Linked DNA regions of Tamandua tetradactyla. The protein of the gene in region 1 purifies or fractionates together with the protein of each later gene. This does not show direct contact. Links are inferred from orthologs where the notes say so. Each region holds a gene or a part of one and is shown on either strand. Other genes may lie near its edges. The genes, in order: KSR2 and MAP2K2.

Region 1 (11,421 bases):
TAGGGAAGTCTACAGAGACTGAAATCTGAATTCTGGTTGCCTAGAGTTCAGGGAGGCTGTTTCATGAATGCAGGGTCTCTTTTGAGGTGAGGAAAATGCTCTGCTTCTCTAAGTCCTGGGAGAGCGCCACGGCGCCCGTCCTGCCCCCTCCTGAGGGTGCTGTATCTGAAAATTCACAGTATATCGTGACTGCTTCATTTGTAAAGCCAGCACCCATCACTGGTCTACATTGTTCATTACTATGAGCGCAAATGATCCCACGTATCAAGAGGGTACCCTGGCTGCTTGCACTGGAAAATTAAGAGACAGAGGCAAAAGCCCAAAGGGAGAAGAAATCTACGAAAAAGTCTGTTTTCTGATGTTGGCGAAAACCTCATAAGGTTCAAGATGGGAACCGTCTGCCTGTCCTCATCAAAGTTATTTTTTTTTAAAGCATTTTAGATTTGGGGACTCGGTGCGTTAGAGCAGAAACATAAGCATTCTCTGACAGCTATGGGGGATTTGGTTGTATCCTGGGGACTAGCATTCTCTGATTTGTTTATTTAGTTTCTGAAGAAACAGAAAGAAAAAGGAAAAGAGAGAGAAAAGAAATGCCCTGGGAAAGCAATACGCAGAGCCCTTCGAGATGAAGTCAGCATTGGTTTTCTCAGTTGTAGGAACAGTGATAGTCTCTTATCTTTTGATGAGATGTTTCCCAATTTTGTCCCTATTCCCAGTGCAACTTAGAAAACAACACAGCTGGCCCATCACTGATATAACAGGGTGTAAAACAAGACTTTTCCTGTTGACCCAGAACTTCGGCTAAAGTTTTCACAGGTGAGGGCAGTGGAGGACAATACTTCCTCATTCTGCTAAGGGGGGGCCAGAGTGGCCCATTGACCATCAAAAGCCATCAAGCTCCAAACTATATAAGACAAGGTCAAGGTTTTATCCATAAGAGGTTTTGTCGACAGGCCTTGATAGGGGTTTTTCCTTCTCCTTCCTACCCTCAAGTCAAGGGAACACCTTGAAAGGGGCTGGCTGGTCTCTTACTTCTTTGCTGAAGGCTGCCTGGAGCTGTCCCTGTTGGCAGGGTGAGGAGAGAGGGCAGCAGAGAATGTGCTTGCCATTTTGCAGGGCCAAGGTCTGCCTGTTTCCCATATCCAGATGACTAACCAGGAGTATACTTAGGTCTGCATAGTCTTGAAAAGGTTCACCCAAGAGGGACGCCTGCCAGGCAAGGGAACTCAGAAAGAGGACGTGTGGTGCTGCCTGGGGGATGAACTGGAAACCAGTGTGTGAGAGGTTTTGGACATTTGCATTGGGTCCCCAAGAGGTCCCCATGGGATTCTCCAAAGATCCCCTAGTGTGCCCTATGTGACACTCTGGGTGGACACTTGCCAAGACATCAGTGGACATTTGACACCCAAGAGAAAATGATACCTGTTCTCACCTGTTCTCAGGTGAGCTGGTGAGGTGGAGAGAAAGGACAAACACCCCCTGTCTCTACTGCAGATTCCTGAGCCATCCGAGCATCAGATCTGAGTAGGGGAGAGACATATTTCTTGAACTGAATATGAGAATGGAGTTTTTATTGGACTGGACTTTTAATGTCTGAAAATTAGACCGTTATAGTTGAAAGTACTGAAAAGCTGTGAGATCTCCCTAGATCTTGCAAAGGGGCAGGAGAAGGAGATCTGACAATGGGCTAGAGTGTGGAAAGGCTGTGAGAGAAAAAAAAGTAAAGCCAGTGCTTCATTGTTCCCCCGTCCAGTTCAGTTCATTCATTAACCCAGTGACAGTAATTTATTCCCACTATCGATAAAGCCACTGAAACACATATGTCCTTTAGAAGCAGCATGAACTTCTAGGATAAAATACAACAGCAAAAATGTCATCAATTGGCTCCAGCCCTCTAGGCTTGAAATTGGTAGGATTTTCAGTGTGGGGTGCAAATCACCTTAAGTTAGGGGTGCAGGGTAGTTCAGTGGCAGAATTCTCACCTGCCACGTGGGGGACCCACCATGCACTTCCCAAACAAAGAAACCAACAAAAACAAGCAAAGAAAAAATTCAACTGCAATAACGGGATACTCAAATGGAAAAAGAATGAAATGTGACCCCACCATACAGCATACAAAACAAAAAACAAACAAACAAAAAACCTTAGGCTATTCAGGGGTACCAAACACAAGTGCCTGCAGGGGCCAGGTAGGAAACAGAAATGATGAATGAAAAGGACTGGGTGACGACAGTAGTGCCCTGTCTGAAAGGGGTGGCTGCCTCTTAGCTTTAGCCAACTGTTGTCCAAAGTAGCCAGATTTCCAATTTTTATGATAAAAGCTTGGAATTTGCATTTTTGCAGTATCTCTTGATTTTTGAATTATTGGTAAGAACGTAAGCCAGGGTTCTTTGATGCAAATGACACACTCTATTCCAGGTGGTGTAAACATAAATACTTTTATAGGGAAGTTTAGAAAGCCTATAGGATCTCCAGAAGGGCAAAAGAGCCAGGCTTGGGCTATGCAGCCAGGAAGGATGTCCCAATCACACTGCGGGGGCTGCCCCGTCCCCCAGCACAGGCACCATAGCATGCTCTGCTAACACAGAGGACTGGACCCCTGTAAGCAGGTGCATTGGCTGTCACGCTCACTGTCAGATAGTTTCCTCCTCTGTTTTTGCTCAGTTATCAAAAGAAATCTCATGCAGTCTGCTAATGGCAGAGCCTAAGATCACAAGCATGAGACCTGGTTGCAAGAACACTGGGAAAATGCTACAGTTTCTATTACAGAGAATTGGGACTCACAATGTGGGGTATTTTCCAACCTCGGAAAAGTATCCAAAAGAGGCTGGGTACATGCAAAACAGAACAAATGATCCCTGTCTTAACCAATCGAAAAAAAAGATGAGCGCAAACAATGTATTTTGTATGCTGCTTACAGCCCTGCCAGTCGGGACATCTGATCTATGGATTACTTTCATTGTTTAAACTTCTATGTCCTCTGAGAACCACCAGAAAAGTTAGATCAAATCACCATCATCACCATCATCACCATTATCTGCTTAAAGGTATCAGAGAGCTGCTGAAGCAACCAGGACCGGAGGCACCAAGATTCTGGAGAGAAGGGAGCTGTGGCGAGGTGAGCTGACATTCTGTGGCCACCTTTTCCCTGGGGGTATTTACAGTGTCCCTGGGGCATAGAAAAAGAGGCTGAGGGTCTACACTTTTTCCAGGCAAGTGGGAGACAGAGAAATCAACAGAACGCCTGGCAGTCTCACAGTGCTGGAGAGAAAAACTGGGGACTTAAGAGGCTAATATCCCAGAGAGAAGGGAAGTGCAAAAAAGAGTGAGCCTTATACATGGTGATTTTCCTGAAATTCTGAAGCTGTGCAAGGCATGAGGCCAAACACAAAGCCCGTGATAAGCAGAGCAGAGCTTTCAGCAGTCTCGCCATGCTAACAAGACAAGGAGAGGGGAACCTTGGCGACCACCCACGGTCTCAGCTGGAACCCCCGGGGGGCAAAGCCTTAGATGTGGGGGCCAGCCATAGACGGTGTCTTCCAAATCTGCAACCCAGTCTCCGCCCATCTCAGCTCCTGATTGGAATAAGGCCATCAGTCCCCATGCCATCTGCTTTGCAGAGAAGTCCTCTCCAGAGTTAGGTAACATTGCCAGGATCCTCTGTTTTTTTCATACACAATATCTGACATTAAATTAAACTCACAAGGCTTGACAAGGGACAGGCCCAAGTTACTGAAAACAAAGAGAAAAATAGTCCATTGAACTAGACCCACAGGTGAACTGGACATTAGGGCTTTAAAATGCTCATGATGAATATGAAAGAGAACTTCCCCAGAGAAATGAAACCCTTACACTCCCTAGTCCAAAAGACTGAGAGCCTAGAAAACTCATTTGAGTCCCTCATTTACAGAAAGATTTTGAAAAGGCCGTTCAGCTCTGTATGAGCCAATAAAACCCCATGGCTCACCATCTAAGGGGGAAAAGAAGTTTGCTGTCCAAGTTGGCCATCACTGGCTATTTTCTCTACTTCTCAGGTGACCTCCTTTAGGGGAGACATACTGTACCGTGTATTCTGAGTCTCACTCTGTCCAATAGGCCCAGCTCCCTCATATGGGGCTCTGCACACCTGGAAAAAGAGGAGCTATTCATCATAAATACATTCTTCTGGCAGTGCGTGTTGGGAGTACTATGTGATAAGGTGGTCCGGGAGATGAAGCATCTCTGAGATGGCACTTGAGTTGAGTTTGGCTGACAAGAAGGGGTTAGCCATGAGAAGATAAGGAAAGTTCTATCCAGCCACAGGGGAGAGAACCCTAGTGCAAGAGTAAGTTTGGTGATTTAGAGCAGGGATTGTCAAACTTTTTCTGTCAAGGGCCAGAGAGTAAACAGTTTAGATTTGCCGGCTATATGTTTTCCATTGCACCTACTCAACTCTGGTTTATATAGCTCCAAAGCAAAGATAGACAATATATAAATAAGTGATGACTGGTTCCAATAAAAACTTTATTTATGGATACTGAAATGTGAGTTTTGTATGATTGTCAATTGTCAACAAAATATGATTTTTTCCCAGCCATTTAAAAATGTTAAAATCATTCCCAGCCTGGGGTCATAGCTTGCTGACCCATTATTTAGAGAAACAGAAGGAAAGAAAGGTGTGTATGTGTGTATTTAGAGGGGGGTGGGATAGACGGTCGATTAAGTAGGCTGGGGGTCAGATCATGTAGACCCTTTTAGGACATGCTAACAATGAGAATAAGGCAAAGCCCCTATTTCCTCTTTAAGCGGACATCCACCAGCCAGGGTAACTGCTGGCCAGAGAACCAGTTCTGGGAGGCAGCTTCCTACAGTTCATGGACGATCATCAAGTTTGTTTTTTTTATTATTCCCTAGTCAATACGAAAGGACAAACGAGCAAACAGTCAGGCACACGCACACACTGAGCCAGAAAGGCAGGGAGTACGTGCCCAGGTTCACGCTGACATTTCTCCAGCACGCGCTAAGGGTTAAACTTAGGTGCACACCTGCTCCCAGCCCGAGCGCACCTGCTCAGCGGCCCTGTGGCCTCCTCTCGCGAGAGCGGGGCCGTAGTAGTGGCTCCCACCCCCACCCGCCCGCCGGCTCCCTCTCCCCGCCCCACTCCGGCAGCCTCCCGGCTCTCGCACTCTCCCTGCGATCTCCACCGCCCCGGGGGCAGCCTCGGCCGGACGTGCGAGCTCGCTCCCACGTCCCCGCCCGCCGGCCGCCGCCCGCCGGCTCGCAAACACGCACGCCCGGGGGTCAGCTCACTTTGCCACGCGCGCGCCGCGGCCCCCAGAGGACCCGCCCCCTGCTCTCCTCCCACTGCCCCCACCTCCCACTCGTCCCCGCCCCCGGCCCCGCCCCGCCAGGAGCGCTCCCTTCCCCCGCCGCCCCCCCCCGACCAGGTGCGCGAGCTCGCGCGCTCCTCCTCCGCCTCCAGCAGCGGGTCCCTGGCGCGCGGGGGCCGGGGCCCGGCTGGGGCGGACGCGCGCACGGCGCCTCTCCACCAACCCGCTCCCCTGCAGGTCCCTCGCCGGCTCTCCATCCCTCGCCCGCGCTCCCCCGCTCCCCCCAGCCCTTGATTGACAGGCAAGATGTCGGTGTGGAGCGAGGCCGGAGCGAGCGCAGCAGCCGTCCCCCCCGGAGCCCGGCGGCCGCGGCAGCAGCAGCAGCGCGCGGAGGAGGCAGCAGCAGCCGCAGTGGGCGCCGCAGCCGCGGGAGCAGTGCGGGCAGCGTCTTGAGATCGCCCTAAAGCACCCCAAACGGTGGACAATGCCATGTCACTGCAGCTGGGAGGGGGGAAAAACCAGGTTTTTTTTTTAGTGTTTTTTTTTTTTTAACATAAAAAGCCAGCCAGCCAAAAATATATTATTTTGTCCTTCACGGAGCCGGTGTGTAAAGAGTGAGCGCTATTTTCCTTTTCCTCCTCCTCTCCCTCCTCCTCCTCCTCCTCGGTCTCTCCCTCCTCCTCCACCTCCTCCTCCTCCTCTTTTGCCTCCTCCTCCTCCTCCCCCCTAAGTGCACAGACAGCATCACATCACCTGGTTTGCTTCTGAGAAACAGCATCTCTCCTTTTCAGGGACCAGAGACTCAGAGAGAGGAGACATTCTAATGGAGTCTGCCTGATACCCCAAAATAAAATAATAAATTTTGGCTCCTGTCCCCTCCTCCCGCCCCCGCCCCCCAACCCTGTGTGAGATGTTGGGTTTCTTCTTTATGAGACATTGAGAAGTCGCGGTGGTTGGAGAGGCGGCGGGGGTAGACTACCTCCACCCCCCCAGCCCCCCTTTTTTCTCTCTGGGAGGAGGAGGAGGAGGGGAAGGGGGGTTGCAGAGCAAGCGATGGATGGGGAAAACATGACGAAAAGCGAGGAGCAGCAGCCTCTGAGTTTGCAAAAAGCCTTACAGCAGTGCGAGTTGGTCCAAAACATGATAGATCTCAGCATATCCAACCTGGAGGGGCTCAGGACCAAATGCGCTACCTCCAACGACCTCACACAAAAAGAGATCCGGACCCTGGAGGTAGGTGTGCCTACGGGGGGTAAAAAGCAATCCTTCCTTCCCTCCCCTTCCCACCCCCCCCAACCATCCGTTTCCCCTCTGATTGTTTGTGGGGGGCTTGGGGAGGGGGAGAAGGCAGTAAGGTGGACAGGATTCCGTTTTCTGTGATTTATTCTCTTGCAGAGCCCGCACTGGCTGTGCCTGAGCTGTGCCGCTGCGCGTCTACGCTGGGCTGGGTGCCGGTGGTAGTAGTAGTAGCGTTATTCTTTATTTATTATTATCATTGCTGCCGTTGTCGTTATCAGCTCCCGGGGAGGGAGTTTCTTTCTCTCTCTCTCTCTCTCTCTCTTTCTTTTCCGCTTGTGGATTTGTTTATATGCCGCGGGGGCCTGGGTGCTGGGTGACACGCTGGGGATCCGCAGAGAGCCCACATGACCCTGCCATTCTGCAGGTGGGCAAAAGGTGGTTTGGGGCTGGTGAGAGGGGGCTGCCTATAAATAGAGACTTCTTCTTCTCCCGGCCTCTTTCGCATCCCCCCTTCCCCTTCTGCTCCTTGGATTTCGGTTTTTCAATCATGGACATGTCAGGAGGAAACCTGCCGGGGGTGGGGGGAACCCCCATTGAGCTGTCCGTTTCCAATCCAATCATTTTGATGCACTGAGCTGTTGCAGCCCTAAAATGTGTGAAAAGAAAAAAAAAATAAGCCTGGATCTGCACACACAGGTGGTGTGGGAAGAGCCTCTCAACTCTGTGGGTCCTGGAAGGGCTGGTCGGGAGGAGGAGTTATGTTGGGGTGTTGTAAGAGAGTCTCTCCCAGGGAACTTACTGGGGAGTTTGAAGCAGTTTTTTGGAAGAAAGGAGACAGAAGTGGATACAAAGTTAACTCGGAAGATGGCAGAAATGATTTCTTCAGAAGGCCATTTGGGCACTGGAGGAAGGTTGCAAGAGGGATGAAAAGTCTTGCAGTCCATGCATCAGTGGGCATTCCCGTGTTGTAAATGTCTGGAGGGGCCGACTACTCCACTCCCTCAAACCTGCACCAGCTGGACACATGGCTTGATTGAATTTTGAAACTCCCATGAGCTGGCAATTGCAGAAGGCGATGGCAATGGGGCTGGGAGCAAACCAAAAGGGCTCTTCCTTTGGTGGAGTGGGCGTGCGCTGTGCTGGGAGGTTCACCCTTCATTTTGGGCTCATGAGTTTCTAAGGCCTGAACTCTTCAGTGCTCAGTAGATCTCTTAGCCCTCGGGCCCCTCTGCTAGCGTGGATGAGCAGTTCTCTGTTTCCTTTTCGGGTCTTCCGTTTCCTTCTATGCTTTTAAAATCTGGGTGGATGTCAGCATGCGGGAAGGTTATCTGTTTGAAAGAGCGGTTAGTGCGTGTGTGTTTTAATAGGCTGTTTGCTGCCCTAGGTGCGTTTATAGGTGCACCTGTCATGTGAGACGATCCTCAGGAGTGAAAGATAAATGTCAAGTGGTGGGAATTTCGTTGGCAGGTACAGGTATTGCTTTTCTCGGTGCTGGGGAAAGCAATGTGGGCTAGGACTCTGCTGCTGGAAGAAAAAGTGTGGGAAGCTCGGACCCTGCCTTCTGTCTCTGTCTGGACAGTGCTCAAGATCAAATTCCGTTCAAGTGCCCTCAGTAAATAAGTAAATAACTCAAAAGGGCCAGCTTGAGGTATCTCTTCTGTTCCAGTGAGTCAGGAGTCCCAGATGCCAGCTTGTGTCATACTGTGTAAGTTTCTCCAGAGTTTTCCCTTTTCTCTTTTCAACGCATGCCATCCTTCAAAAACTCCTAGAAAGTACTGTTCGTTGCAGTGGGCACTGGGTTTCGTTTCTTCTTTTCTGCTTCATGTGTCTTTTCAGACTGGGAGAGGGAGGCATGGGTATGGTAGGGGTTCCTGGTAACAATGGGGAATGCATCTCTGTGTTAGTTTCTTAGCCTCAGTATGCCACGGAGCATGCCAACCACTTCACCCACATTGCCAGGCAAGGGGCATTAGCAGTTGTGCCGATTTAGGCTTCCCAGATCTCGAGGGCTAGGGTTCGGCCAGCAAGGAGGGGCTGGTAACTCAAGGCCCTTCCAAATCTTGTCAAATCTTACGTTGGCTTTGAATCCACAGGGGTTTCTGTCCCAGCTGGGCTCATTTTATATGTCAAAATCACCGGAGGAGCTCATTAAAATTCAGATACTCAGCTCTTATTGGTTGGGACTGGGGCCGGGGCCTAGGAATCTACATTTAATAAACAGTCTGTGTGGGGGGCTGTAACATTTTTTTTATTGTGAAAAATAACATATATACAAAAAAAGCAAAAAATTTCAAAGCATACCGCAACCATTAGTTATAGAACAGATTTCAGAGTTTTGTATGGGTTACAGTTTTTGATGCATGTTTGCATATAGACACTTTGAGCACTATTAATCCAGTGGGAGAGAATCAGGCTATTTCATCTATTTAATGGTGACACCTCCCTGTTTACAAACACTAAAGTAAGTATTAAATGGAATAAACCATCCCTGAAAACGTAACATTAAGCACAATTTGGCAATATGCATATTTTCCTAAAGGAACAAAAATATACAGCATGGGCTTAGCCTTCAAGGAGCATACTTCAAAGTTAGGGAGTCAATAATATATGATAATTAATAAAATTTGATAATAAATGATAAAGCCTGAACAGTAAATAATATGGAGGACGGTTTGTGGATCAACTAGGAATGTGTTGGGCTGCATGAAATGGAAAACCCCACCACAGCTGTGAGATCAATAATGGCTTATTTTTTCTTATGTAACAAGACTTCTGGAGGTCTGAGGTTGCTTGACTTTGCTCAGTAGGGCAGCGACATCAGGGCTTGATGCCTTTGTGAATTCTCACGGACTTTGCGTTAGATGGCAAGATGGTTCCTGCAGCTTCAGCCATCATCAAGTCTGGTTCAAGGCAGAAAGGAGAAGAAATGTGTAAGTGTGAAGGAATGAAAGCGTTCAAATAAAGAGTCCTCTCGCAGGACATCTCTTCTCTCTACGTGACAGATGACATTTGATTATGTCTTCTTGTCCAGCAGTGGTCAAATGGCTACTCCTAGTTGCAAAGGAGGCTAGGAGATGGGAACGTGGAAACACCGCTGTGATTGGCACGGATTGGTCATGGGCCACTGCCTGGGTTTACCTGTTGCCACCCCGCCCAAGATCGGGGTTCTGTTAGCATGGAAAAGCCGTAAGGAGATCACAAGTGAATATCTAGGAATGTGGGCCCCACAGGGTGTTATTAGGAGATAGTGCAGCAGAGAAGAAAGTTCATGAGCTTTAGAGCAAGACTGATAGCATTTTGTTTTGGCTCTTCTACTTATTTTATCGTGGGCTAGTGATTTAAATTTTCTGACTCATAATTTTATTATTGACCAAATGACATCAACAGGATAACCGTACCTACCTGAGTGGGTGGTTGTGAGAATTAAGAGAGATGACATTTCAAGGGTCTGGCACTGTCCTTAGCACAGCACTTGTAGCTGTTGAATCAATGATTGCTATTATTATGCTGATTATTAGTATAAGGTGTGGAATAGATGACATGGACGGGATTAGTTCAGAGTTGACAGAGAGAAGAAAGAGCTTGGGCAGTTTTTCCAGAGTGTGTTCTGTGGAACCCTAATTCTGGGATGTTAGCATTTATCATTCTTTCAATGGATACTTTTGAGTATCTGCTATGCTCAGCTGCTGCTATGGGTACTGACTGTCCACTAGTGCTCTATAGACAAGACAAGTTCTGTGGTCCATCAAGTCTGGGAAAGGTTGACTTAAACAAAGGGAAATAGGCATCTTTACTGTAGGACACCTCAGAGCCTTTAATGTGCTATAAATGCATTATGAGATCTCAAGAGAGGGTAGAGTCTACTGGGCTTTCTTTTTCCAAGAATATCCCTTGGGATTGGTGTTCCATGGAATTCACTTGGGGAAACACTGAGCGAAGCACTTACAGAAGCCTCCTTGGATGGGGAGATGGGGATTCGGCATGGATGGAAGGATGGGGCGAATTCAGATTGCAAAGGGAAGGAGAGGGGCTCCCTAGAAAACAACCTAGATGAAGGCACTGTTATTCCTTCATGCGACAGCTTCGAGACCAACTTGCCCAGAAGGGAGGCGCATGATAGAGTTACCTGGGATATGAATTTAGGCCACTAACTCTTAGGATCTGTCTAAGGTGGAGGGGTCAGATCAATAGTGTTTCATTCCTTGGTGGGAAGAGTGAATCCAATAAAACAATTGAGAGTTTAGTCTGATGGTAGTCTGCAGCCGGGGCCTGCAAAGTTATTCTGTAAAGGGCCAGATGGTCGATATTTGAGGCCTTCCAGGTCATACTCCCAAGCACAACTTCTTGACTCTGCTGCTGTGCAACAGAAACATCCAAGGACAACGCGTCATTGAATGGGTGTGGCTGTTTCCCACAGAACTTTGCTAATGGGCCCTGCAATTTGAATTTTCTATTATTTTCATTTATCATATATTTTTTGAGTTTTTTTTTTTTTTTTTTACATTTAAAAAAATAAAAACTATTCTTAGACTTTAGGCCTTCAAAAATGAATGGTGGGACAGATTTGGCCTGCAGGCTGCAGCCTGCTGATTTCCGGTCTGTAGGGTGGATGGGACTTGGGAGGGCCTGGACCTGGAGACCATCCAAAAGGCGAGCAAGTAACACTGGGAGTCAAAGGCATTGGCCAAGTGCAGTTGGTTCTAAACTGGACACCAGTTGGGTTAGTGTAAGAGGAGGGAAAGATCAGGGATTGAGGGTGGGGATAAATTTGGAATCCGTACTTCCTTGTCCTTCCTAATCCATACTTCCCTGTGCAGCCAGGCACATAACAATTATTTGTTTTTTGTATGTTCCCTTTTCAACAATCTCTTGC
Region 2 (10,810 bases), on another chromosome or scaffold:
AAGGGAAGAGTTGCATCAGGTCAGGGAATATTGCCACATCTTCACCAGAACCCGTGCTCTTTCTCGGGACCCACTGCTGGAGAGAAGGGCCTCAAGCTCAGAAAGGAGAGCTCCAGGTGCCTTTCAAGCCTCTCTCCAATTTATAGGGAGACCCGTCCCCATCACATTCCCTCTACCGGGCAAGGGAACAGAGGCCCGCCCAGTCATCGGCCTCTCACCTTTCTCGCCATGATGAGGCCTGAAGGTCTGTGCTGGACTTTGGTGACCACTCCACCATTGCCGGCACCCAGCTCCGAGATCCTTTCAAAGTCATCATCCTTCAGCTCCCCAACCTTGGCTTTCTGGGTGAGGAAGGCTTCCAACCGCTTCTTCTGCTGCTCGTCTAGTTCAAGTTCCTCTAATTTCTTCTGGAGGTCCACCAGGTTTGCTCTGCAGAGACCCCAAGGGCAAGGGTTAGTAAGGAATGAGCAAGTCACCAAGAGATGGGTCAAGGTGACCCGCGTGGACTGTGGGGCCGATGTGCACCAGGGTTTGTGGCTGGAAGGGTACAGACATGAGCGGAACCCATTCTGCACTCGAAGGGCTGACAATTTAGACAAGAAAGACACCTGCGGGCGGGTACACCCCTGCAGGTACAGGACTGACTGCAACAGAAGGCCAGCTCCTCGGGAATGGAGGGCACAGCCGCAAAGCCTGTTCCCAAGGGACCTCAGGACCTCCAGGACCTCCAGGTTCTTGATCCTGGACTGAGACCCAGGGGTCCTGCATCCTGGTACAATGGCTCCTGACTCATTTAAAAGGAAAGGTGAGACTTGGGAAACGAGTGATGGGCCTGTCTTCCAACAGGCAGAGGGGCAAATTTGGTTCAAATGGCCTCAGGGAGAATGAGAAAACTTCCACGGGTGGAAGACAGAAGTTCCACATCCAAGCATTTAATTTAACAACATTGAGGAGGGAAAAGGCATCAATTGTGCAGGAATGCCAAGGCTTTCCACTCATCAAGACTGCTCTCCTTATATCCAGGAGGTCACTGTAAACATGCACATTCCTGAACCCAGTTCTAAAAAAATAATAGACCCATAGATGACATGCTTGGGGGGTGGGGGAGAGGAGAATAGTTCACCCTTTGTTGGATGATTTAAGGAATTTTCAAAGGAAACTGACCATAAGCTATTTTCACTAATGCCTTGATTTTGAATGAAATCCTGGAGAAAAAAGCAGATCCCTGTAATAGGGAGATAGACTTTAGCTCACTGTCTGGAAGGACAAACCCACTAAGGTCCAAAAGAGTAAGACTGTGAACCATGTGTGTGATTAAAATGTTTTGGTAGCTATGGTCAAAGAAAAACAACTAAACAAAACAGGCAAAATTAATTTTAGGGACATACTTTGTTTAAATCAGCACATCACTATTATCATCCCAGCATATAATCAATGTAAAAAGATTAACGAGTTTCTCCTTTACATGACTTTCTTCCCCCTTACGAAGGCTCTAGAATCTGGGATGGATTTTATGCTGAGATATCAACACACTGTACTTTCAGTGCGTTCCGTGGCCCAGGCCGGTGGACTAGCTGGGGTAGGTCCAAGCAGATTCTAGGGAGAATATGGGGGTACAGTGGGTTCAGACCAGCAGTTCCTGAAGGTTCTGATATGCAATGAACTGTGCCCCCCAAGAAGATATGTTGAGATTTAATTCTCCAGGGCCTCAGAATGGGACCTTATTTGAAAATACAGATGGAACCAGGTGAGTTAAAATGAGTCATACTGGAGTAGGATGGGCCCTTAATCCACCATGACTGGGCTCCCTATAAGAAGGGGAAAAGGCCACGGATGACAGACCACCGTGAACTGCCAGTAGGCCACCGCCAGAAGCCAGGGAGGAGGCACGGAAGAGATTCTTCCCCACAGGCTTCCTAGGGAGCAACTGGGAGAAGACATAATTCCGTTATGTTTTAAGGCCCAAGTTTGGGTTGCTCTATACAGCAGCCTGAGGAGACTAGGGCAATGTTTAAGCCCAGGTTGAATGCCCACCTGTGGGAGATGCCATAAAGGGGATTCAAGGAGGGGACAGAAGGGTGGATAGATGTGATTCACCTTTGGGAACCTTCCCATCCTGAAGTCCAACCATTACGTACAACTTAAGGAGGCGGGAGCACAGTACCTTGGGGGTTGGGGTGGGCAAATCTGCGACTCAACCCTGGGAGGAGTCATTTGAGCTACTGCAGCAAAGAGCTTTCTAGGAGGCCTGTGGCTAGCTGGGTACCCCTTTTCAAGCATGTACTAACATGCCAGGAGCTGTGGGCTTTGTGAAGACCAACTTGTCCTGGGAGGCAAGGGCCCATAGAGGCTCAGGAGCTTACCTGAGGCCATGGCCCTTAGAAGTGGCAGTGCCTGAAATGAACCTATGGCATTCCGGCTCCCACCCATGATCCCTGCCCGAGTCTGTAATGCCCTGGGCCAGGACTGGACGACCTGGTAGGAGCCTGCTGAATGCCTGTCAATCAAGACCTGGAGCAGAGAGTCCCAAGAAGGTCTCTCTGATAGAGGCCAGAGGGCAGACAAAGGAATGAATACATGTGGCACAGTTCACCGGGGACTTGCAGCCAGTGACAGGATCAAGAGCCAGCTTTGAGGCCAGAACCGGGAAGGCTCCTGAATCGGCCCCCTGACATCCAAAATGCCTCCCGGAGTCAGCGGATGAATCCATTTGAAATTGAATGGCAACTCCACTGAGGTTATCAAAAACCCTGGAATTTCAAGGGCTGGCCATCTGGGTTGGGGGAGTTTTTGATGGGATAGAAATCGGAAGCCTTGGAAAAGAAAGCACTCTCTTGGGAAGAATTAAGAAGCAGGTCTCTAAGTAGAACGCTGGTGCTGGTGAACGGTGTGAGCAGACATGCACACACCCACTGGAAGGCCCAGGTGGGATGGGAACACACACCTTGCCCTCACACCTGGACCTACAACAACTGCGGTCCGCTCCAGCAGGAACAGGAATGGGGAGGTCTAGGGGTGTGGCCTGGGGCTAAGCACTTCCAGGCCCCTGGCTTTTGCCATTACGTGCCACCCAACCTTCTACATCACTCCTTGTCCCGGATTTCCATGCTTCCCTCTCCCCCCGCCCACACACTGCACAACTGCCACCTTGGAACCCCACTGCCCCTGGGCTGCTCCTCTTCAGGACCCTGTCCCTGGCTTTGTGGAAATCCACCCACTCACCCCCAGTTCTCACACCCCCAGCTCCCTTAGTTGCCCCCCCCCCCCGCCCTTCACTTCAGAATCTCAGCTCCCAGCGGGTTCTCCCACCTCTTTCCTCAACCCCTCCCCATTCTCCCCATACTCCCTGCCCTTCTGGGGCACATGCCCCTCCCTTCCTCAGAGAACCCCCCCCCCCATCCACCCCACCTCCGCCTCCCAGAGGTCTAATTCCTCCCTAAGCAGTATCTTCTCCTTCACTGTCTCAGGTTCTTCACCTGGAGACCCCTCAGGCTCCCCATCCATCTGACCCCTCCCCAGTCCTGACCCTCTGAGGCTCTTGACCTCAACATGACCCCTCAGGTCTCCCTCCCTCTTGATTTCCCAGGACCTACCCCCCACCTCTAAAGGACCCCTCCCCCATCCTGACCTCTCAGGCTTGCTCCTTCCTGACTCCCTTGGGACCCCCCCACCCACCCTGAACTACTGAACCTCACCCTCCCCATCCTGACTCCTCTGGGTCCTCTTCCTCATCCAGACTCCTTGGGGACCCTTGCCCAAGCCTGGCTTCTCAGGGGTCCCCTTCCCTCTGTCCCCTCCCTGCAGTGAATCCACTGGAGTCCCTTAGGACCTCCCACCCTGTCCTTCCCCCACGATCCCTCACCCCTCCCTCACCTCACTACTCACAGACTCCCTTCATTCCACCCGGACCCACAGGGGGCCCCCCTTCCCAAGACCCCTCAACCCATCCTCACCGCTCAGGAATGCCCCTCAGCTCCTCCTCCCCACCAAGATCCTTCACCCTGACCTTAATACTCAGGGACCCCCTCACCTCTTCTTTTCCCCACACGGACCCCCCACTGTCCCATTTCACTACTCAGGGACACCCTCACCCCATCATCTTCCCTCAGGAAGCCCCTCACACCACTCTCAATACCCCATCTTTTCTCCACAAGGTCTTCCCCTCATCTCATCTTCCCACAAGGACTCCCTCCAGCCCAACCTCACAACTTTTCTCCCTGCAGGGACTCCCCTCAGGCCGATCTCACTACTCGGGGAACCCCCCTCCCCATCTTCTCCCCACAGAGACCTTCACTACTCAGGAAACTCCCACCTTGTCTTCCTCCTGCAGCAATCCCCTTTACTCCGATCTCGCTACTCGGGGACCCCCCTACCTCGTCTTCACCAGGCAGGGACCCCCTTTAAGCCAATTTCACTACTCGCCCCCCCCCCCCCCGTATTCTCCTCGCAGGGACCTCTTTTACCCCGACTTCGTTATTTGGGGTCCCCCCACCCCGTCTTCTCAGCGCAGGGACCGCCCCTCACCCCATCCTCTCCCGCAGGGTGCACCCCCGCCCCGCCCACCACTCACTCGGAGGCGCCCTCGCTGGTGGGGGACGGGCCCTCGGCGATGGCGGGGTTGATGGTGAGCGCCGGCAGCACCGGCTTCCTCCGGGCCAGCATTGGGGCTCCGCGGGCCGGGGGCGGCGGCGCCTCTAGCCGGGGCCCATAGGGGGCGGGCCGGGAGCGGGCGGTGCCGACGCGAGCCCGGGGCTGGGGCTGGGGCTGCGGCTGCGGCTGCGGCTGCGGCCTAGGCCGGCGCCGAAGCAGCCGAGGGTGAGCGGCGCTGCGGACCGAGGCCGAAAGGGCGCTGGGGCTGAGGCCTAGGAGCCGCCGCCACCGCGGAGGCCAGACCGAGGCTGACGCTGCAGCGGGACCCGGGAGGCCGAGGGCGGGGAAGGGGAGGGACGAGATCGCGAGCGACGTCTCGCGAGAGCGAATCCCGACCGGCGCGCCGGATCCCGCCCCGCAGCTGCCGCGCGTGCGCACCAATCCGAGACCGCCCGCTTCGAGGGGAAGGGGGCAGAGAGATCTACGCGAGGCACTGCCGAGAGCATGCGCTCTCGCTCGTCTCCCACAGGGTGTGTGCGCATGCGCCCGGGTCGCCGGGCCTTGGAGAGTTGGAGGGGAGGGAAGGGGTGGGGTGAGATGGGGTGGGGCGAGGGTGGTTGGAGCGCCTAGAGTAGGGGGAGGTAGCTGTGGAGGGGATGAGCTCGGAGGAGTGGGGTGGAGACGGGTCTGACCGTTTATAGCCTCGTAGATATCCCAGACTGGGCATATGTGAATCTGTAAAATTGCAAAAAGTTGTGAAGACCGGCCCGGATTCGATTTATCCTTTTTCACATTTTCTGTGTTCTACACTCATCCACCATTACCAGCACCGCCGCCTCTAATGCCAATTATTCCCGTTCTTTCCTGAGAGAAGGGTCATTTTAATCCCTCCAAAGTCGAGAAGCGCGTGGCCTGGAATACAAGACAGTCATTTAAATGGGGGGGGGGGAATTGACCTCATGAAAGTCTCACCCCTTGTTTTCTTGGTATTGGATCTCTGAGCACCTGTGTACATTTCGTAGGTGTGCACATTTGGGAGGCACGTGGAAAGCGAGGCCGGCTCAGATGACACCCTCCAAGGTCCAGGCCCCCAATCTCCCATGGCTCAGTCCTGCCCACTTCGAATTAGCCTCCCCTCCATCTTTTTTTTCTTTTTTTAGGTTACTTTCTTGCTTTTTATGTGTCAGGTCCTGTGCTGGACACCAGAGATACAGTGTCAAAAATAGTAAGAACACCTAGAGCAATATAAGATTCTGGGAAGGTTCCATGCATGTAGTTTCCAAGCATGTAGGTTTCCAGAAACCTACAACCTCCAGATGGGTCCCTGGTCCAGATAACTCCTGAAATTAGAGGGCCCAGCCTCTCCAGAACATCAGCTAGTTCCATCCCCCTACCCCATATTACTGACAACCCCTTCCAACGTGAAAATGTTAGAATGGGCATAGCCCAAATACCCCTAAAGAGCGGGGGAAAGATAGAAGGTGATGGTGGAGTTATAAAGAGAAGGTGGGGTTTAACAAAGCAGTATGAGTGCTGAATCATTATATTGACATTTCTTTTAGTCTCTAGTATTTTAGAGCAGCTAGAAGTAAAAACCTAAAAGTGTGGAATTGTAATCCATACCAAACTCTGAAATCTGTTCTACAATTAATTGTTGTGCTGTGCTTTGAAATTTATTCCTTTCATGTATATATATTATTTTTCACGAAAAAAAAAGTTGATTTTGATGATAACAACAACAAAAAATGCATAAGATAAGCATACATTGTGGCAAAATGTCATTTGCACAGTTGTGGTCTTCCCCGAATTAAATCTGCTTCCCCCTAAGTCTGCTCTGCACCTTTAGAATAGAACCTTTTCAGCTTTGTCCTTCACTGTTCCCAAAAACCCACAATTCAGGCCTCAAATAATGCCATGTCCTTTCACAGCACTGGGTGTTTCCTTGTGTCCTGCCCAGCAATCATTCCCTTCTTTTATTATATTTGTTTTGTTTCAATTTTGGCTACATGTAGTCTTTTTTTTTCTAATTTTTAAAAATTTTTATTGAGCTACCAATTACATTTAATAAACATGGGGTTCTCAAATGTTCAATTCATTGAATTTTTACAATTGAACACATCTACGTAACCATCCCCTGAAATGAGACAGGCAGTACAATATTTCCATCACTCCAGAAAGTTTTCTCTGTGCCCTCTCCAACTTCACCACCACCCCCACCCCATCTCGTTTTTCAAACAAGAAAAAAAACGGGAGACTGATTTATAGCATTTGCCAGTTTCCACGGTGGAAATACTCCCACCTTGGATGATTTCCAGCTACCCTGAAGGCAGAAAGATGTGCTAACAGTAGGAGAAGTTTTTGCTTTTTTTAATGCAATTTTATTGAGATACAGTCACACACCATAGAAACCATCCAAAATATACAATCACTGGCTCCCAGTAGCATCACATAGTTGCACATACATCCCCATGATAATTTTTAGAACATTTTCATTACTCCAGAAAAGAAATAAAAATAAAACCCAAATCCTCCCAGCCCATACTCCTTATCCCCTCCCCCATCATTGACCCATAGTTTTGGTGTGGCACATTTTTTACTATTGATGGAAGAAAACCCCGCAATTGTTGAGCTATAACCCATGCCAAACTTTGAAATCCATTCTATAACTACTTGTTAACTGTACTTTGTGATTTTTGCATATGTGTTATATTTCACAATAAAAAATGTTAAAAAGGAAGAGTATTAAAATATTACTGTTAAATGTAGTCCATAGTTTGCACTAAGTACATTTCCTCCATATACCCCGCTATTCTAACTCCTTGAAATAATTTCATACATCTGCTGTAGTTCATGACAGAACTCTATATATTTTTACAGTTAATCGCGGAGATTGTCCACCCCAAGATTTACTGTTAGATGAGTAAAACGTGGATTAAAAATAATAAATAATAGGGGGAACAAATGTTAAAACAAATTTAGTAGATTGAAATGCTAGTGATCAATGAAAGGGAGTGGTCAGGGTCTAGAAAAAAAATAGGGGAAACAAAGGCTAAAATACACTGGGTAGATGGAAATACTAGCAGTTAATGAGAAGGAGGGGTAAGGGGTATGGTGTGTATGAGATTTTTCTTTTTATTTCTTTTTCTGAGTTGATGCAAATGTTCTAAGATATGATGGTGGTGATGAATATACAATTATGGGATGATATTGTGAGTTGTGAGTTATTGATTAGATACCAAGAATGGAATGATCATATGGTAAGAATGTTCATGTTTGTATGTTGTCATATTTTTTTTAAAAATCTAAAAAAAAAAAAGATTCCCTATTATGCATTCCCATATTTTCACCTCCAGCTTTGCTTCTGGTGATATATATGACTCTAAACTTCCCCCTTCTGGGTGGGGCCACGGTGGCTTAACATACAGAGTTCTTTCCTGCCATGATGGAGACCTGGGTTCAATTCCTGGTGCCTGCCCATGCAAAAAAAGAAAAAAAACCACTTTCCCTCTCCCAACCGCATTCAGCCCTATTCAGTGTTCTCACGATAACCTGCTACTGTCACAACATTTTGTTGTGTTACTAGTAAGTTCAACCTAATTAAACATTTTTCACATGTTAAGCAACCATGCCCCATTCTTAGGCAGTGGGATAAATTGTGCCTGTCCCTAGAGTTTCATATAGATGGAATTGTATCAGAATGAACTCTTCTATGTCTGGCTTGTTTTACTTAGCGCAACATCCGTGAGCTCACGCACGAGGTAGCACGCCACCGTAATTTGTTCTTTGCTCTTGCTGCACAGTCGTCCCTTGTACCTACTTTGGGACTTGCCCTCGCAATGGAATAGTGGGATTTTGTCCTCTTCTTGAGGACAGAAAGTGAACAGGATTTTCAACCTCGGATCCCCTGAGTTGGTTGCTTGTCCCAGCTTCCTAGAATTCCCAAGGCATAGATCTGTCGCTGGCTTATAGATAGCGCCTGTTGCATTGACACAGGTTCTAATTGTTTGTCTTTTTTAGGTTCTCATTCTTTTAGTGTGCTTTCCTTTCTACTTACTGAACTTTCTGAGGGCAAGGAAGATGCCGGAACTTGTTTCCTCTTTTCCCAGTCCAACTTCTTGGATATGTTTTATGCATGATATATATATGCTGCAAGGATGAATTAAATACATGTGCTCATCCTAGGTTCTCTGCGCTTGTTATAAAACATTCACTTCTACAGCTCATGAGGTTACAGGGCAGATTTACAACCTCCACCCACTTTCTATCTTTATCACCAAGCGTGTTTTCTTACCTAACCTCTCCCTGGTGGTACATATATTTCCATTTATCGCTGGTTCCAATCACATCTTTCTTAGTACATCTGTTCTCTGATGTACTACAGATTTGGGTGTCTTCTTGGCTCCACCCCACCCCCACCCCACCGCCCCAGGAAATAAATTCCTAATAGCTTTGTTGATAGATTCCACTCAAGGTGACCTTTATCTTGTTTAGGCACAGTCTAAACAAGATAATATTAATATCACATCTGTACACTGTTCCTATCTCAAAATGCACCCTGAACTTTATCTCCCACTCTCACCTGCGGGATGGATTAACTGAAAGAATGGCTGACCCCACAGCTTTGAGAAGCAATCTATCTTAATTGCTATGACGCAGCAATTCTACTTCTAGGCACATTCTAGGCAGTACACTAGAGACACGTTCAGTAGGGTCCCCAATGGCAAAAATCCAGAACCCCCGCGGTTCCATTGATGGGAGAATGGAAAAATACATTTGGGATTGTCTAAAAGGTGATATTATGCAGCAGAAAACTTACAAACGATAACTCGGAAAAGTCTTAGAAGCATAATGTTGTTTGGAGAAAAGCAAGGTACAAAAGATCTCCTGACACCATTTTTATAAAATTAAAATGGCTCAACTTCATTAGCCATTAGGGAGATGCAAGTTAAAACCATGATGAGCTACTACCTATTAGACTGGTTAAAATTTAAATTCCGACAATACCAAGTGCTATCAAGGATGCAGAGTGACCGGAACACGCAGACATGCCTGGTGGGTTACACAATGGTACAGCCCCTCTGGAAATCTGGAAAACAGCTTGGTAGTTTCTTAAAAAGTTAAACATACACAACTCAGCAAGGACATTCCGAGGTATCTACCCGAGATGCCTCATGTATCGCACAGAAGTCTGAACGTGAATATATATAGAAGCTTTATTTGTCATCGCCCCAAACTGGAAACAGCCCAAATGTCCTTCCACGGGTGAACAGATAAACAAATCATGGAACGCTGCACAGTGGAATATTACTCAGCTATACACAAGGATAAACTACTGATATACTTATTTGCATGAGTCTCAAAGGCATGCCAACTGAAAGATGGCAGTCTCAGAAAGTTATGTTCTGCTTGATTCCATTTACGGGGCATTCTTAAAATGCCAAAAGTACAGAGATGGAGAACAGATCAGTGATTGCCAGGACTTGGAAGTGGGGGTGGGGGGGACAGTACAACTATAAAAAGGTAGCATAAGGCAGTTCCTTTGTGGTGACAAAATGTGCCTGTATCCTGTTTGCAGTGATTAGATGACTCTACACGTGTGATAAAATTTCATAGAACTGTGCACACATCAAAAAGAATGAGGGCACATAACGGCTGAAATCTGAGCAGTCTCTGGTTTAGCTCACAGTAGAGTACCCATGTAAGTTTTCTGGTTTATAATAGCGTTCTCCGGTTACATAAGATGTTATCATTGGGGGGAAGTTGGGGGGAAGGGTACACGGGAATTCTCTGTGCTATTTTTGAAACTTTTGTGAAGATCTAGAATTATTTCAAAATAAAAAGTAAAAAAAAACAGGGAAAATGGAGACTTACGATGTTTCAGGGATACAAAGCTGCGATAAAGTGGTTTGTGGGGGAGCCTGGGAAAGCAGGGAACTCATTCTTCTTGGTGTACCTGGCTCCTGCTTATTAACTGGGCTCAAAGCCTGGGTCCTGTAGTCGTTGGTTGTTTTTCCTCCTAAATCTAGTGGCTCCCTGATTATTCATTTCACAAAGGATTCTGGGATCCTCAGCTGGCCACTGAGCTCCCAGGTTAGAGTTCCAGATAAAAATCTAAGCTTGCTTCCAGAGCCTCAATCGATTGACTCACCATCCTCGGGCGCAGTGTTCAGGGAAGAAAACAGGATGCTCTAAAGATTTTTGCAGTATCATGCCAGAGTCA

The links.
Region 2: the proteins of KSR2 (region 1) and MAP2K2 purify together in Homo sapiens (affinity purification with mass spectrometry; 3 studies listed by BioGRID and IntAct, with this or other methods). This does not show direct contact. The link is inferred for Tamandua tetradactyla from reciprocal best matches to the Homo sapiens genes KSR2 and MAP2K2.

Annotation. Positions count from the first base shown.
Region 1 is NC_135331.1:18,273,249-18,284,669, reverse strand, and holds the start of KSR2 (kinase suppressor of Ras 2), read left to right. Parts: upstream 1-6,362; coding exon 6,363-6,542; intron 6,543-11,421. UniProt on the Homo sapiens protein: Location-regulated scaffold connecting MEK to RAF. Has very low protein kinase activity and can phosphorylate MAP2K1 at several Ser and Thr residues with very low efficiency (in vitro).
Region 2 is NC_135337.1:77,912,757-77,923,566, reverse strand, and holds the start of MAP2K2 (dual specificity mitogen-activated protein kinase kinase 2), read right to left. Parts: upstream 4,728-10,810; 5' UTR 4,663-4,727; coding exon 4,571-4,662; intron 430-4,570; coding exon 219-429; intron 1-218. UniProt on the Homo sapiens protein: Catalyzes the concomitant phosphorylation of a threonine and a tyrosine residue in a Thr-Glu-Tyr sequence located in MAP kinases. Activates the ERK1 and ERK2 MAP kinases.